Drosophila melanogaster: one gene and its partners. Changing the gene in region 3 together with the main gene of any one other region gives a genetic interaction. Each region holds a gene or a part of one and is shown on either strand. Other genes may lie near its edges. The genes, in order: S6k, foxo and Rheb.

The links.
Region 1: of Rheb (region 3) and S6k, changing one suppresses a phenotype caused by changing the other (phenotypic suppression), as found in Drosophila melanogaster (3 studies listed by BioGRID).
Region 2: of Rheb (region 3) and foxo, changing one enhances a phenotype caused by changing the other (phenotypic enhancement), as found in Drosophila melanogaster (one study listed by BioGRID).

Annotation. Positions count from the first base shown.
Region 1 is NT_037436.4:5,806,904-5,814,259, reverse strand, and holds the start of S6k (ribosomal protein S6 kinase), read left to right. Parts: upstream 1-3,328; 5' UTR 3,329-3,859; coding exon 3,860-3,970; intron 3,971-6,271; coding exon 6,272-6,312; intron 6,313-6,999; coding exon 7,000-7,126; intron 7,127-7,183; coding exon 7,184-7,315; intron 7,316-7,356. Other genes in the region: mad2, read left to right, coding at 1,246-1,318, 1,399-1,545, 1,607-2,010; kri (krishah), read right to left, coding at 2,185-2,195, 2,342-2,874, 2,940-3,181.
Region 2 is NT_033777.3:14,053,558-14,060,913, forward strand, and holds the start of foxo (forkhead box, sub-group O), read left to right. Parts: upstream 1-3,387; 5' UTR 3,388-3,467; exon of another isoform or gene 3,468-3,871; intron 3,872-4,183; 5' UTR 4,184-4,550; intron 4,551-7,356. UniProt on the Drosophila melanogaster protein: Transcription factor involved in the regulation of the insulin signaling pathway. Consistently activates both the downstream target Thor\d4EBP and the feedback control target InR.
Region 3 is NT_033777.3:5,566,930-5,570,529, forward strand, and holds Rheb (Ras homolog enriched in brain), read left to right. Parts: upstream 1-1,991; 5' UTR 1,992-2,110; exon of another isoform or gene 2,111-2,276; 5' UTR 2,277-2,293; coding exon 2,294-2,342; intron 2,343-2,470; coding exon 2,471-2,542; intron 2,543-2,645; coding exon 2,646-2,853; intron 2,854-2,912; coding exon 2,913-3,042; intron 3,043-3,098; coding exon 3,099-3,188; 3' UTR 3,189-3,562; downstream 3,563-3,600. Other genes in the region: CG12746 (uncharacterized protein), read left to right, coding at 16-431; CG2931 (uncharacterized protein), read right to left, coding at 684-1,592. UniProt on the Drosophila melanogaster protein: Binds GTP and exhibits intrinsic GTPase activity. Activates the protein kinase activity of TORC1, and thereby plays a role in the regulation of apoptosis. Stimulates the phosphorylation of S6K through activation of TORC1 signaling.

The DNA of each region.
Region 1 (7,356 bases), on a different chromosome or scaffold from region 3:
AGAACTTTGTAATAAATCCTGTAAATAGCTCTCGTTTTAACTAACGATAAGTTTTGTGTACATTTCAACTAAGGTAATGCAAGCCCTTCTTTAACCGTAATTTATTGTATTTAATTACACCTAAATTAAACGTAATTATAGCTATAAGCTCACACACACACACACACACACACACGAACACCCCACACAGACACCATGGAGCTACTTAATTTCGAAATACTATTTTATTTGTCCTCGTTTTTTTTGGATTTGCGCAATTTCAACACCAAAATATGTAAAATGGCAAATTAGTTTTTATTTCTTCACAATGTGTATGTTGACATCAGTTTGTATGGCTAGGCGTAAAGCAAGAAAGTGCGTAGAGATTATTTTTAGTTATTTTAAGTGGCAAATTTTTTATATATTTAATTATTGAAAGATTTATACCAAAAATACCATGTAAAGTTTAATTTTAATTTAAAACAAAACATTAAACAAACAAAAACGAAAAAAAAACAACAAAAACAAACAAAACGATGCGTAAGAAAAAACTTAATTAAAAATTTGCAAATAATTCACATTTTACAAACATCGATTGCTTTTTGATTTGGTCTGATATTCTGTTCTTGTTCACTGTGGCTTCTTGTACTTCGTTTATGATTTGCTGCTCTGCTTTTGCTGATCTTTTCTGTCAAATCAGAGGGCAGAGTAATCAAGGCTCTGACGAACCGAGCTAGGTTTTGGATAGCATAGATTAACTGGGTCCTCTATTGTTCTGGCTATATCAAAGTCTTGTCTTATTTTAGTCTCTTGGCAGGAATACGATGAACCGGATGGAACCCATTAGGCCGAACCACGCGGAATTACTTTTGCGCTCAGAAATGGATCTCATGCTTAGATTTAGTTTACACAAGGATGGCCAATAAAATTCTGAATTTGTTGCAATCAATAATTGTGTTTTGATTTTATTGCGCAAATAAATTGATGAATTTAAATATGCCGCCCTTTGGGAATTGCTTGGCAGCACTGGTCGGAGTTAGCCATCCCTGGTTCCACCATCCCTGGTCGCATAGCCAATACACACACCAAATATAGAAATATACTGAATTTAGCGAGTACATTCACCGATATTTATCGATATATTGCAGACAAACGTATCGAATGTATATCGAGCTTCTGTCATCTCTGCTAGTCAACACCTTTCAAAAATAGCGGCAATTTAGCAAATTGTTAATTTCTCTCCCACTTAAATCGACTTAAATCAACATGTCAACTGCCCAGGCGACCAAAAACTGCATCACACTCAAGGGCTCCGCTCAGATTATTGTGGAATACCTGAGTGAGTAGCAAGCTACGTCACGAAAGCGTCTGTAAGTTCGCCTGCAATGGCGTCTCTGGTTCTTTTTTTTTCCTAAATAGAGTACGGCATCAATTCGATCCTCTTCCAACGCGGAATTTACCCAGCCGAAGACTTTAACAACACGCAGCAGTATGGGCTAACCATTCTAATGTCCAAGGATCCCAAGATCAAGACCTTTCTGCAGAACGTGCTCAGCCAAACTGAAGGTTAGTGGTCTTTTGGAAAAAATTCAAGTTTATGGTGACCATTATTTGTATTCACCTATAGAATGGCTCTCGAAGAACATGATCAACAAGATCTCGATGGTCATTACGAACGCCCACACCAAGGAGGTGCTCGAGTGCTGGGACTTTAATATGCAGGCCGAGTTGGGCGATGGCGATATCAGTGATCCCACCAAGGCAACAACCACCAAGGAGCTGAGTCGCATACAGAACGAGATTCGCGACGTTATGCGGCAGATCTCGGCCACCGTGAGCTATTTGCCACTGCTCGATTGCATCTGCACCTTCGACATAATGATTCACACGCTGCAGAACACCGAATTACCGGCCAAATGGGACGAAACGGGTGCCATTGTCATACAGAATCCGCAGGCCGTCCAGCTGCGCTCCTTTTCTACAGGACTGCACAAGGTGGACACCGTGGTCAACTACAAGATGAGCACTTAAAAGGCAGTACCGCCTCATCCTAATGTTTAAATATTTATTTCGTTTCTATATTTACAATAGTGCGTAACGAACGTAACGTATTTGAGAGTTGCATTAAAAGCCAGTTGTGAAAAGCTAACAGTTGCTAAGTAGTAGTTTGGTTGGCCGCAGGGGTCGTCTATTTGTCTGTGTGTCTCAAATGCAATCTGGAGGACGAAACAGAGTGAGAGAGGGTAGCATTTGTTAGTGGAGCGCAACGCAGGAAAGGGCGTTTGTCTGGGCGACAGCTACCTATCCTAAGCAGCGCTTAGTCGTCAAGTCTGCGAGATAGACCCAAGTATCTAGTCTGTACCGAAGTATTTCTGGCCAAAGTGATTAGGTGCCACGGGATGCAGCTCGGAGGTGAGGATCTTCAGCTTGGGGAAGGCATTCACTACGGTCCGAGCGGCAATGGGTGTGCAGAAGAGATTGGACAGGATGATGCAGCTCTCGGGTACGCCGTGTTCCCGCAGCACATTCACCGCCTGCAGCACAGTGTTGCCCGTGGACATGATGGGGTACATGAGTAGCACCTGCCTGCTGCCGATGTCATCGGGAAAGCGGGCATAAACCACGCGGGCCTCATGCGTATTGGCATCGGACTCGACCAGGATCTTTCCAATGCGAATGGAGCGACAGCAGTCACGCAGTCCCTGCTCCATGGCCTCTCCCGATCGGATGATGGACACGCCGCAGTTGCCGGAGCGATACTTCAGTCCCTCGTAAATCGCACCGGTGGGCGTCTCCACATCGCAATGGGTGTAGGGCAGTTGGTTGAGCGACTCCTCGATGACCAGCCGGATGAGACGGTCGGCATAGAACTTGAAGTCACTGCGCGTGGTGTTCCTGGGGGGTAGAATTTTGTTGTACTGCTACTACGCTGCTGACTCCTCCTCCCCAACGTCACCTACTTGTCGCGCAATATGGTCAGCAGTTCGGCCACCTGGGAATTGCACTCGAGTAGCTTCAGGTTGCTGCCGTACTCCGCCAGGATCTCCTCCGATGTGGCAGCTGGCACCGCGGCATGTGCATGCGTGGGAGTGTGCAGCTGTTGCTCCTGCTCCTGGGCTTCCTGCTGCGGCTGCTGGTGATCTGAGGAACTGCTGCCCTCCTCCGACTGGGAGCCGCTGCTGCTGGGCGAGCCGGTGCGCATGACTCGGCTATTTGGTTGCTATCACTGGCTACATAAAATAAATAAATTAAAAGAATTGTACGTAGCACTTTGTCCTCCTAGCGCGTGCTTGGCTTGCTACGGCCACACTTTGTCGCGGCATTGCCGTTCGTTGCGCCTCGGTAATTTCTAGCAATTGGCAGTTAGCGCACGACTGGCCACACTCAGCAAATCACCTCGTGTTTCACTCGCAAACAAAGAAAAAAGTGCATTTTAATTACTGATTACTGCATTGCGATTAGGCGTTCGCGAACAACAACGTTTTCTTGCACATCAGCGGACTCAAAGGGCGCGCGTGGGCAAGGCATTGAGCACAGTGTCTGTGTGCGTGAGTGTGGGTGCGTTGTGCGTGCGTCGCAGTGTTGGTGCGTGTGCCCCCATGTGTGTGTGTATTTGTATTGCCATTAACTAATAAACAATAACCTTCGGGCCACGACGAAAGCCACGAAATCGGCACCGCTGCTGTTCTGTTCTGTACTGTTCCATCTGAACCAACCAGCTGAACAAGGAGACTCATAGCCAGAGACTAAAATAAATCGCCAACGCGCTTCCGCCCCCCCGCGAGAGGAGCGCCCAGTTCAGGAGCGGACCAGCGGCGATCCACTTCCCATATCCATATCCAAACAGAATCGCACTCGCCCAAACACACACACGCACGCAATGGCGGACGTGAGCGATCCCAGCGAACTGTTCGACCTGGAGCTGCACGACCTGGAACTGCAGGACGACAAGGCCAGGGACTCCGACGACGACAGGATCGAGCTGGACGATGTAAGATATAGCCCCCATTCCATGCCATCCCGTGCCAATGCGTGCCGCACCATCCCCCGATGCAAACTGCGCAGCAACAATTTCCCTCTTTGTTTACCTTTTCTGCGCTTTGTCTGCCAGTTTTCCTTTCGCTCGTCTGGGCATCCCGATTCCACACCCCCGAACCAGCATATCCACCAGCCGCACACCCTGCAAACTGGGCTTATCTGCTGCGCAAATGTCTGGCGTCATTCGGTTTCAGTCCAGTCGCCGATTATTCAGCGCATGTACATGCGCTCACTCATTGTACCATAAGTTCGACTCGATCAGAGAAAACCTCCTTACGAAACCACCTTCGATTGATATGGGCCAATCGAAGCCAGTGGTGGTGTCCTTCAAACTAATCAGCCCCAATTGCCCGCCACACTCCATGGCAGCCCCCTGCTTGCCACCGCCCCTGTCTCAGCTGATAATGCAACAACTGCAAAGGTGGTGTGCGAAGGAGAGGGAGGCCCAAAATGAACGCCGACTCGCTCGCACTCTCGCAAGTGTCTTAGCTTCCACTTAGAAAACGAAATTCCTTATCAGCGTGCCATATAAAATTAGAAAATGAGAAAAACCTCCACGCGCCGATAAGGGAGCACAACAAAATGGAAGGAAAAAGGGCAGGCAGGCAGGCAGGCGATTGAGATCGAAATCGAGCGATCGTCGAGCCAAACCGTCGTGTTTGGGGTGGTGGTGCTATACGGAACCAGTTGTAACTGCACCACAGTACACTGGAAAAGAATATTAGTTTCCATAGTATGTAGTCATTAAGTACCGAATTACTGATTACTAATTGTGCTAATGAGCGGTTCTTAAATTGATAAGTTTGTATTTAAACGCTTAAATTACTTCCCGTATTCAATACTAGTCGCAATAAATGCATTTTGGCTAAAGCAAGTTGCTAAAACTCTTAATTCGAATATTAAAAGTTCTAAATTGGCCTGAAATATATGTAATTTAGCAACAATGTGTGTACATATGCCGTCATCTTATGATGTCAATTGATTTATTTTTAGACAAATTGTGTAAAGTAATGGCTTAAAAGTACGAAAATAATCTACTAAAAAGGGAGAGAATAGCTCTTGGGTAATTATCATTTTTCTTTGTGTATTATTGGTTTTGTCTGCCCGGGGGAATTACATAGCTGGAGAAACCTTTTCGGTGTTGATAAGAACCTATCACTACCATATCGCACACCTTTTCCAAGACCTGTCGATTTACTTGATTTACGCAAGCGCGCACACCCCCTCCCTCCGCCCATCCACTGACTTTGTATGAACGCTATAAATTATGATGGATTTGTTAATTGAAATTCACCGCCAACGCTGACGAGGTGAACCAGTTTTTAATGTGCTGCGCGACGAGATGTCGAGATGCGGATTCCTATTCCGATGCCGCCATTCAATTGAACTTTAGTCAAAAATGTTCTATACAAATTTTAGGCATGACGAGAACGACGACGGCGGCTGCGGCTGCTGCTGATTCTTCTGAATCTGCCGCCCCTAACTGTGGCCTTCCTCCGATTGGAGCAGCCGCGTCCGAGGGGGCGGCAAATGGACCCGGAGGGGACGAGGAACAGCGCCAGCATCGCCGGCAGATTATTTGGCATTGTTCCGAGTTCTAAATTTAGTTTGTCATTAAGCGAAAGGTGTGTGTGCGTGTGCGGAAAGTGTACGAATGTACATCTGTGTGGATGCCACGCTCTTTCTCTCTGTGTAAATACCGAATAAGCTCCGTGTGGAGTAGTGGACAAATCGAAGGGTGGTGGAGAAACTCACTGGCTTCACATACTCCAAAGACGGATGCCATCCGAGATCCCAGAGCGAGCCCCTACTACTACTCCGATGCGATCTCTCCATTCATCGGAATCTCCCGCTGCTTAAAACGAAACTGAAAAGTGGGGCAGCACCGAATGGGGATTAAGCATGCAACAAGAAAAATAAAATATAACGATATACGATTTCCCATTTTAGAACTGATTCTTGAGCTATTTTTATTACTAAAAAAGCATATTAAAATTGTGGGCTACTAGCTTTAAGCAACCCACATATATATTACTGCTGGTATAGGCTGATTTTGAAGTATCTGTAAGATTTAGGGCCTCTTGTCTTCGTCGATGCCCGGTGCTGTGTAACTTTCCCTTCTGCTGTTTGCTCCCAAGTTCGCAATAACTATGATTAATTGTTGATTTTTTCGCATGTATACCGCTGGCAGTTATGCTCGCAAGTAGACGCCATCTCACTCACACGCCTCTCCGTCTCTCTTTCGCATTTGCAGGTTGACCTAGAACCGGAATTGTGTATTAATCTGCACCAAGAGTGAGTAATGCCAGTGCTATGCCGCCACATCGGAGGACGTGACTGTGACGTGACTTTCTGAGAATGCGGGGTAGATAGGGACCCAGATACGATCGGACTTCCTCTCCAGCCAGCTGAGCAGCAGTTAAATGAACAGCCAAATTGCCAATTATCAGCTCAGACTTGTTTACACACTGCAAACGATGGCAGTGATAGCATATGATATGATTGATTTGGCTTAGAGCCTTATCCCGGCCAGACGCAACTTAGCCTGGTCGACTCTGGACAAATCCAGATGATAAGGGACCAATAGTCGACGGACTATCGAACTAACGGACGGACCCAGAAGTGTTTACAACAGCTATTGACTACCAACTAGCTGTCACTCGGCCCCTGGCCGCCGCCTCTTCAATGAGCCAGCTAGTTCGGTGTGTAAACAAGACTCACGGCAAACACTCGACGGCAATAATGCGAAAGCTGGTTGAGAGTGGAAGTACCAGTGCCAGTGGATGGGGGAGGGAGGAGCTGCACGGACCGGAATGGAGGTGACAATTGGCGCGTGCACGCCATGGGATTTATTTATAGCACGTGGGCTGCTCCTTTCCCACGCTAGACGAAACAAACGCAAACACCATCGAACAGAACAGAAGACAACAATTAAATCAGTCCCCTAACCCCAATACCCAATTTCCTATTCCCAATTAATAGCACTGAGGGCCAGGAGACCATACAGCTCTGCGAGGAGAATGTTAATCCAGGTAAAATCAAGCTGGGACCCAAGGACTTTGAGCTCAAGAAGGTCCTTGGCAAAGGTGGTTATGGCAAAGTATTTCAGGTAAGTAAATATTCACTAATCCGGGTTACGGATCACTAATATTCTGGTTTATTTCAGGTGCGCAAGACCGCTGGACGAGATGCTAACAAATATTTTGCCATGAAGGTGCTCAAAAAGGCATCCATTGTGACCAATCAAAAGGACACAGCGCACACCCGCGCCGAGCGCAATATACTCGAGGCAGTCAAGGTGCGATCGGTCACGGATTGTTGTCTTCCCATTCCTTTAAA
Region 2 (7,356 bases), 8.5 Mb from region 3:
GATATTAATATTAACGTACTAATAATTGAATCAATTATTACTCTGAAACTAACTTATTTATTTTTAGTATACTTCCAATAAGCCCCTCCCCTTAGCCCGCTTTCTGAGTACGCCACTGCTCGCAGAATTCCATGTGGCCACATTAGGGGGGCTCGCTTTTGACAAACACATGCGCACATAAGCATATAAGCATAATTCCGCCTGCCAGCGAGAGTTGATGTTGGTTGGGTGTCTTTTAGAGTCTTGATAGCGCCCCATCAACATCAGCGTGCGACTTCGACAGCGACACACCAACGTCACAAAATCTCGTTTTAGCCAAAGTGGCAGTGGCACAGCAAATACCGTTTCGGCCACAGTTGATCAAGCGATTATTGGGGAGGTGTTCGGTATTAGGTCACCATTGCGAAATGCTTTAATAGTGACTGATATGTATATGTATGTATTTGAGTAAATATATTATCTAGTATTCTTTGGCGCATAAACCACTTCTAAATCAATTAGGAATCACAATTTCTACTATCGCTGCCAACGAGTTAGGAAAACAATCGTGTTTCTTACTCCCTCGCACCATCTCACACTTGCAGGGCTGCCTAAAATGGTTGAGTTAACAAATTGTTAGTAACAGTGTTCAAATTTCCATATGAAACAGACACACACTGTCTCAGTCTTTGCTGGTAAACAATCGTCGGGCGAGTCAACTGGAGTCCAAGTTTGAGACCGCTATAATATGCCAATATAGCAATATACCACCACCCCCTTGCCATTAACCCCTTCGATCCATCGACGATATGCCAACACAGGCGAGACATTAAAACAGAAATTATAATTTTTTGAAGGCCAAGCGTGTGTAGAGCCACTCCGGATCGGCTCCACTTGATTTGGATCGCCTGGCTTTACTTTGGATCGAATTAGCCGGAGCATCTGGTGCTAATGCCCTGCTAAAGGGTGGCGTTTATGTTTTTTGCACACTACTCACTAAGTGCTATTAAGATCTAATAAACTGTATTGATAACGATGATAGCTGGTTGTACAACTGGGCGTATACGTAATTTACAGAGTATTTAACTGATTATCATTTATAGCAATGAAATTAAATAATTATTTGATATGTGCTGCGGTTAAACAATGTTCTTTTTTTATGTAGTTAAATAGTTATAGTTAAATAGTTTTTAAAATGGTCTAAATCTAGTTCTATCTAGTTCTAGAGAGTTTGCCAAGCATTTAGGCAGTTCGAGACCTTTGAAACTTGAGCGTCGCTTGTAGAAAGAACCCCTTTCGTTTTCGGCACTCTGGCGCCCAGAAAAGCTCCTTTCGAGATTTGGCGCGCAGTTTGAAACCTGAGTTTAGTGCCTTGCGTGTCCAGTTTGTCAAATTTGGTTGTGATTACGAGACGGAGACCGAGACGGCGACGACAGTTAGCCATTCGCCACGCGCCAACGCAAATGAAACGCTCTATACATATTTTTGTATATTTTCTGTTTTTTTTTGCCGCTGACAATTATGATCAAGTATTAGCTGGCGATAGCTGAAACGTCTGTGTAATTTCAATGGAATGGAATGGGAAGTGGGCGGCCTATTGATACACTGCTCGAGTGATTTTAACTTTTATCTGATCATTCAAACGCATAAATTAGTCTTGAGAACTTCAATTCATTTGATACTCCAGTTAACATGCTATTTACATGCTCATTTAAATGGTAGTAGTGATTTATAAGCCCACTTCCAGATGGAACTTACCTATACCAACGTGTTACTTATCGTTCTTAAGCCAACTTAATAGCATTCTAAAATATATATGTATCTTTTGGCGGACTTATCTTCTTGTTGTTCTCGCATTCCAAAATCTCTATGTACATGCAAACTTTTATTGTCATAACTCGGGACTTTGCAGACTTTGAGGCCTATTTAATAGAGCTATAATCTTACAACAAAAAAAAACTAAAAGAGCTTTTTAAGCAATAAAAATATTCTGAAAAATTACAAATTAACAAAAAATTACCCAATGAAGCCTGCAAATTTGAAATCTTTAAGATCCTAGATATGCCAAGATGCACCCTAAAGTCCTTAACTCATCTCCTTGGCTCGTTTCTAATCCCCCCTCTCGAGGGATCGAGACGATCGCATCGGGTCGGTCTTTAAGTTTGGATGATCCATAAACTGTTGGTTTCTCCGTCCTCAGCGTCTAGACTTCATTAGCCGTGTAATGTTGCGGAATTTATGTGGCAGGCACATTAAAATAACACCGATACACACTCTCATGGACGCGAACGTGTGTACAAGTATAGAGATATCGGGCCTAGGCGAAAAATGAAATTAAAAAAAAAAAAAAAACTGGCACCGGGAGGGGCTTATTTTTCGGTGGTCGGGGATGCGGGGGACTTTGACCATAAAATACATGCTCCCAAAAAGCTCGCACACTGCAAGAGATGCGGGGCACTTCTGAGTCCCATATTCATATGCACAAATGTGCATTGCTGGCATTATCAGTAGAATGCAATTTCGGGAAATTTTCCATCGCATCACGAGACAATGAACGTAAGAGAGAAATGGAGCCTCAAAGAGGGAGGGAGAGAGAGAGCTTGAGTGAACGAGCGAGCGACAATCGCGAGATAACGGCTGCCTTATCAGCAATGCCGACCGCCCCATCACCCCACCCAAAACGCCCAACCACCACCCACCGCCGCCGTTCCCTTTCCTCCATCGTCGAGAATTTCGAGTTCAGAGCAGCGCGACCGAAATGAAAAGAAACAATTTAAATTCCAAATGTATAAAATAGGTAAACTATGGCTTTTATTTATTAATATTGACGGGGGCACAAAGGCGGTCACCTCAATAGTGAATAACATGTTTTTTATAATGAATACTTTTCAAATTGTTATTAATATGCAATGACGTCTTAAATGTTTCACTGCAGCTGAACTTTATTCTTTTCATTAAAACAGTCACCCGTTATTAAAAATAAATAGATTAAGTTTTATATTATTAAATTTGTAAGTATTGAAACAATTCCTTTTTTATTTTATACGAATTATCATTTAGTTGGGGTTAATATCCCTTAAAGAGAGAAATTTGTATGCTTTAAGATTTAAAATATCTATTGCATTTATAGCTATAGCTATAACTTCTCTTATTTCACGCAGAAAATACTCAAATAAAACATATCGATTTGGCATACCCCACTAATTTTTTGGCCCCAAGTGTGTGAGAGTGTGTGAGACGAAGCGCGCCACAAACATAAAAAAGCGGTGAAGTGAGCGGTTGTGGAACGTGAGTGGATGCTAAGAGCAAGCTCTCACATACGCGGACATAGGTCGCACACACACACGCACAGACCGCCTTTTTGCGCCGCCGAAACGAACACTTTTACGAAGGCGACGGCGAATCAGTTTCAGTTGTCAGTTCGCATCCAACTAGAAAGCAGTTAACGAGTAGTCTGTGTTTTTTCGCTTGCGGTTAAAAGCCACGAGGTCGTTCATCGTTCATCGTTTTCCTTTTCAACTTCAAGCAAAGCAAATATAAACCAATGCAAAAAACGCAGTGATCTTTTGAGGCCCAAATCGTTTGGGGCCGAACACCGTTGATTCTAAAACGCAAATGTAGAAACAAATCAAGAAAGTGGAAAATAAATATGTTTCGCTTTCAAAACATGTGAATGTGCCGAACTCAAAACTGAAACGTAGAAGGAACGCGTTCGTTTTTTACATACGACAATCGTATAAAATAAGAGAAAAGCTCCAAAACGTATTAAATAGCGATGCTTGGATGATCTTCGTAGCAGTCACGTTGTACATACAAATACATACATATGTACCTACTATATGGCACATAAAATACGTTACGCACACTAGTGGCGAATAAAAAGCGAATTGGAGTAAGCTCCGAAACGTGTTTATATTAAAATTTTTTACCCATTTGAACTTTAAACAACTTTTCGACTGCGCCGCACGGTTTTCATTGAATTCTCATACGAATTCCAATTAAGTGTTGTGTGTGCGTCCAATTGGCATGAATTGATGACGTGACGTGATCGCTCTCTTCGCTCTCTCCCTCTCTTTCTTCGGCACACACACATACACACACTACGCTCTTTAATCGCGCCGCTCTCTTCGCGCTCTTTTTATTTGTTTATTTTGATTGTTGTTATATATATATTCTAATTTACCGTTTTTACAATCGTCTTTAGCTTAAGCAAAACCGCCGCCCAGCAACAACAAGAAACCCATTTAATGAGTGTGTGTGTGTGTGAGCAGAAAATTATGCCAACAGAATTCTAAAAAATATATATGTATATATTTAAATAACCACTAAAAATCAAGAAATCCGCACAAGTTTCGCTCAAAACAACAACACAATCATATATACTACCCATAAAAAAAAAACAAACCCATAAAAAAGTGCAAAGCAACCAGGAAAATAAAGTAAAACAGTGCCAGTTAACAACAGCAAACGGCGATCAACAAATCCCACCGGCAAAATCAACAATTTTTTAAATCGCAATCAACAAGGAGCAACAAATTAGCCAGCTATTTCCCATTGCAAACATTTGGCGGGTAAATATTATTAACAATTACGAGTAGGTGTACTTGATTGAATGAAAAATGTCATGTTTTTTAAGTTCCTAAATTCGATTCGAATCTAATCGGCAATTGATTGAAATATTCTAAAAGTCAAATTTTGTTTCGTCACGCGATTAAAAAAGTAATTGAAGCAGTGCTTTCCTACACATCAATTAAAATTTAAATTAAATGGTATTTTATGTTGATTACAACAACATTTTTTTTAGTCGCCACAATAAAATATTCATTCTTCCGTGAAATATTTCCAATATAAATTGCTATTGCTATATTTATAAAAATAAGCTTTGATAAAAGTTAAGAGGTTTAATAGAAACTAGAGTTAGGTTCTTTTATTTATATTGGTGTTTAGAATTTTAGATAGGAAAGCTGGACTTTTTGTTGTGTTAAAGTAGTCACATCTATTGAATTTACGACCCAAATTTTAATACAACCGATAGGGAATGTGATTTATAACCTTATTCGAGTAATTCCTAGTTTCACTTTCAAGATCAAAACGACTAGAATCATAAAGTCGGTCACGTTCGGCGCTGCAGTGTCGCTCCAATAGATGATCTTTCAGTTCGTGTGGGTTTTGATTAGTCCGTTTTGGTGTGTTACTTGTCATGGGAGTGGGCAGGGGAGATCTTAATTAGAGCAGCGCTGATAATGGCTCTAAAAATAGAGCCCCAGCGCCACACTGATAGCAGAGCTTGAAGCGTGTGTCGTTTGCGTGGAGCTCATTTCTTTCGTTCTGTGTTTGTTTGCTCCCCCGATTTTCGTATGCGATCCACTAAGGTCGATTTTGTTGCCATATTTTGCCAGCGATCTCGTATACGCACCGTTTTCAGATGCTTTTGAATATTCTCTTGACATCAGTATTGACATTGAAATGTGATTAGGTTTAATTTTCATAAATGGGTTGATTCGCCACTCGGTTAGCTGTCGAAAGAGGCTTTTTTATTCCCCATTTACAGATAAGGCTTTTATCTATTCGCAATGTGCCAAGGTACAACAGCAGCTGATGGCCCAAAAAAAGTGTACATATAAGCCTATACACACATCTGTATAGTCGTCCTATGTGCTTGCGATTGTGACTTTTATCATATCTTGAGTGTTTGCTAGCCACATTGGTGGAACGTGCCAGTTGATAACAAGAAAGTGTGCGAAAGTTTGTCTAAAAAGCTGTAATTGAAGCAGGGAAACCGGGAAGTCAATTAATTTTGAGAGACAACATTAAACGTATTCTTCGTATTCTAGTATTCTTCAAGAATTAGTAAAGCTCTTACTAATAAGCTCGTTTGAGAATGACGATAAGTTATATCGATAATGTCGATTTTACCGATAACCGAAAAACGTTAGTAATGGAAATTTAATGATCATTAAATGAGAGCCACTACATATTGTTTTGTTTAGAAAGATATAGTCGGAATACCAGTAGTTATTTCTTAGTATTATTTTGTGATTTTTAAATATTCTACTCAGATGTGTAGAACTTTTTTTCGAACGCTTCTTTTTGCTTAATTTATTTCGTTTTTCGCGCCGACCCCAAAAACGTTAGTAATGCAAATCGATTGCGTTTGCGAAGTCAGATGATCCCATCCATGATTTCCATGCGTCAGTTGTCCCAGCTGTCAATCGAAGATCGCCGTTTGGGGGCTCTACGTTCCTGGTTGACTTCGCCATCGGTCGAGTGGAATCGAATCGTTCGTTTGCTCTTTAATTATTGTAATGAATTCAATAAACATTGCAGGGCCTCTGCCGTTCATTTGCATTTGCGTTCGCACTCGCTGCATTCTGAACTATTGCACATTGCCTGGTCGGGCCTCTCCTTCTCTATATAGCGATATATATGTATATGTATATGTATATATAAATATATAGAAATCTACATATGTATTCATTTATATATATGTAATTCTCTATTTCTCTTAGTTGCTCTAGAAGCGCGTGATTCTCTCGCAGATCCACGTGCCGCCAGATAACTGCACTTTCAATAAGCTTTTATTTGAATAAGCTTCCGCGATAATTGACTTAATAAATTATTAAATATTAACAGCGTAGAAAAAACCAGAATGCAATGACTGACATGGCATCTCCTTGTGGATTTTCTAATGCCAAGTTAATAGGAAAATCATGCAAAATAGCTGGAAAGTGCATTAGGGCCCGACTGAGCTCACAAAAATGTCTTAATATATCATTTTCAATCACTGCATTACCAGATTCCTAAGTCTTAGTCACTTTCCAATGATTAATATATACACATATAAATTATTGTTATTTATTTCCCAAAACTAACTTTAATATCAAGCAAAAACGCAGTGGTACAGAAAACCAACAATTAAAGCACAGTACAAATAATATGAAAAAGAGCGCAGATTGAAAGTGCCACAAAAAAGATTTGTTGTCCAAGGTTTATGCTTGGCATTGTAAAGGGGTTATTGTGGCGTTGCTTGGGGTCAGAGGTTTGGAGGGTGCCCACCGCGATAAGCAGCTGGTCGCCACAGAGGGAGAGGGATACAAACAGATAGAAACGGGTGCCGGCGAGTGGAGCTGCTGCTCCACATGGCAACAGTTGCTGGCTGGCGGGGAGTGCATAAATATGATGTGCATTGCTTTCGTTTCAGCTCTTTATCGCTTCTTTATCTTTGGGGTTGCGTGATAAGAACGCACTCGGAAAAAAAGCGACAGCACAAAGTGTCGACAGGGAATTATTGGGAATTATTACAGGGAGTTGCGAAGTTGAAAACCTTTAAAGTGAAATTAGAAAAGTGAATCAATTATATTTTTTATTCAACAAAAA
Region 3 (3,600 bases):
ATATGCCTACTCTAGTCGCCTTTGCGAGTTTCGGTTTCATTGCCTATTACATTGGCGCCAAGCTGCACGCCTTTGATAGCCGGGGACGCGGCCACACCTGGCGGCTCTGCATCGCTGTGATACCTCTGTTTATCGCACTGCTGGTTGCAGTTAGTCGCACCTGCGACTACCACCACCACTGGCAGGATGTGACCATCGGCGGGCTGATTGGCCTGTTTGCAGGCTATATAAGCTACACACAATACTATCCCTCCATCTTCTGCCCTGATGCCGGCATACCACTGGTCAGGTGGCCCAGCAGAGAGGGAAGCCAGTACCAGCGACTGTCTGGAAAGGACGACAATGGCAGTCGTGGTCCCCACCATCTCGATGGTGGGGATGCGGTGCGGAGACCTCTGCTCGCTGACAAGGAGGAGTCCAAATGGTACTAAAAGCTTTACGTAATATTATTGTGAGTGTTGCTTTCCCGTTTAAGGTTTTTAAACATATTAGACAATTTCTGATTTAAAAATGTGCTGCTGGTTTACCTCGTAATAGGATGGGTAGGGTTTGTTAATAAAAACTAAGCGCGTCAATTGCTAAACGTAAATTTATTGCTCATCTTTAGCAGCAACATCCAAATCTAATTTGCTACATCAAAGTGACCGAAACTAGCCTAAAGGACACGATATGCACACTCAGATTCAAGTCATGGAATTGAAGGCCTGCAGAAGCACCTGTTTTTCGCGCTCCTTTTTCTTAACTACGTCAAGACTGCGTTGTCGCCACGTGCTCTTGCGCAGTTTGATAGGCCGGCTGCCCACATAGCGGCCGTCCATCTCCTTCATGGCCCGTATAAAGTCGGCCGGTTCTCTGAAGCTCACGAAGCCAAATCCCTTGCTCTTGCCCGTGCGCTTGTCCCGCACCACACGGGCCCGCTGAAACGAGGGGAACTTGTTGAAGGTCCGGGTCAGGACCTCGTCGTTGACGTCGTTTCCCAAGTCACCACAAAAGATGCGGAAGTCATCGTCGGGCCAGTCAGCCAGCGAAGTATCCTCCCACACGGTGCCGCCAGCGATACGCACCGTCTTGCGGTCTTTCTTTTTCCGCTCTGTTGTCTGGAAGGATTGCAGCGCCGATGATGCGCGCGCTGCCTTAATGGCCTCCTCTGCAATGGGATTGGGTCCAGACTTTTCCGCCTTGAGCTTCTTCAGCTTCTGCGTTACGTCAAAAGAGACGGCGTTGATGTCGATGGAGGGCGCGGCGGCCACGGTGGGCACGTGCACAGACTGCCGGCACTGATAAAGTTTGGGGGCGCTGCTCAGGACTACGGGAGTGGCAGACATAGCCTTGGAAGAACCACCTCCACTGCCCGTAGGCACGAAGGTGGACATAAACGTGGGTGGAGGCGGCATCGGGGGCGGGGGTACGGTCAGACGCGATCCTCCATTGCCCTGGTGATGCTGCAGCTTGTGCTGCGAGTTTTGGTACGTATTGGCGGCTATGATCGGGCGCACCTGGTTGGGCACGAAGAGATTGCGGGCGGGGGGCTTCGAGATCTCCGCCTCGAAGCGTGAGAGCTCATCCTCGATGTTGCGACGCTTTGTACCCATTTGAAGTGGGGTTTTCTCTTTTAAAAAATCAAATCAAAGCAAGTTTTTACGAAAGTGCTGCAGAAAACTCGGAGTACTAAACAAATATCGATTTCGTTCCCAATCGATTGCACTATTTTTATTTTAAAGGCCTGTTTAGACATGTCCACAGAATCAGGCTCTATTTGCAATATATAACAAATAAAACAGTTATTTTAATATCATAAAACGAAGACATTTAATATGTTTTAACTATTTAAGAAAATAACTGCGACTTTTTACACTTGATTACGACAAGCACCTTTCCGAACGGGCCTTGATATTTTCTGCAATTGTTGACCGTTAAACTAGTAGACGATAGTGTAGTGTGACGGTTCCTCATTAGCTGGCAAATGCCTTATGTTAGTAGGCTAGGAGTGGTATTTCGGCTTCGTCGACACCAGCACTGATTCAACTTCAGAATTACTGTTTTCTTTTAGACGATCTGATAAATAATACTGGAATTAAAATCGCCGGAAAAGCTCTAGCTGTGATAGAAAGTATCCTCAGCAAGCAAAATAAACGCAGAAGCAATATTCCTCATACACACATTTAAAGAAGGAGCACGGGCATACCCACACAAGCGCACAAAAAGTCGAGGGGCGACAGCAAAAACAAAAGTGTGGAAAATCACAAAACCAATAAATTTCTCCATTTATTTCAAAGCACTGGGCCCCAGGAAAATGCCAACCAAGGAGCGCCACATAGCCATGATGGGCTACCGATCAGTGGGTGAGTTTTCCCAGAAAGTTCCGCCAGAAGCACTGACACTGTTGCTGCTGGCACTGGTAATTGCGTAGTATTTCGACAACAGCAAGAACTATGATCAATTGACCATAATAATTACGCTTCGCCCGCAGGCAAATCGTCGCTATGCATACAGTTCGTGGAGGGCCAGTTCGTGGACTCCTATGACCCCACCATTGAGAACAGTAAGTGTCACATCCCATTCCGTGCGGATTTCTTAGAAGCCAGGCTGACTCCATGCTTCGATAGCAGTAGCAATGCGTAATGATCGGTAATTCCCATTCGCAGCCTTCACCAAGATCGAGCGTGTAAAGTCGCAAGACTACATCGTAAAGCTCATCGACACGGCGGGCCAGGACGAGTACAGCATATTCCCGGTGCAGTACAGCATGGATTACCACGGCTACGTCCTGGTGTACTCGATAACCAGCCAAAAGTCTTTTGAGGTGGTGAAGATCATATACGAAAAACTGCTCGACGTAATGGGCAAGAAATAGTAGGCTTCTTCCCCGTGGGTTCCGCTTGAGAGCTAAGCTAATCTTTTTTGCCTTTCAGTGTACCTGTGGTGTTGGTCGGCAACAAGATCGATCTCCACCAGGAACGAACCGTTTCCACGGAGGAAGGCAAGAAGCTGGCCGAGTCCTGGCGAGCTGCATTTCTCGAAACGTCCGCCAAACAGAACGAGGCAAGTACCAAGACGAATCACACTAGCTGAATGCAACTAAGGTACTTCCTTCGCAGTCCGTGGGAGATATATTCCATCAGCTACTGATCCTCATCGAAAACGAGAACGGCAATCCCCAGGAGAAGAGCGGTTGTCTTGTATCGTAGGGCGGCTGAGTAGCTAAAACTACGGCCGAACTGTTGGAAATACGGCAAATCGCTATGGCAATACGAAAATCGATTATCTCTTATCTACACAGTTGGGTCAGCGTGCATGGCGGGGCCGTACCCTTTGTGCGCAGCAGGAAAATCTAAAAATCTAATAGACCTAGTATTCTTAAGACCACACAGCAAGTAACCAATATCAAGCGATCTGAATGCGTCCGCTAAACGCTGCCCAGCAGGTTTTGTGGTTCGCGTCTGGCGCAACACAACAGGTTTAAGTTAGTACGTTTTTTTTACAACAACAATTCAGTTACAAATTTCATATACAAATTCTGCAAACTTTTAGTTTCAATTTAAATATAATTTTTCAAAATACTATTCAAGATTGTATTTTAATGGTCAACATTTTCGATTG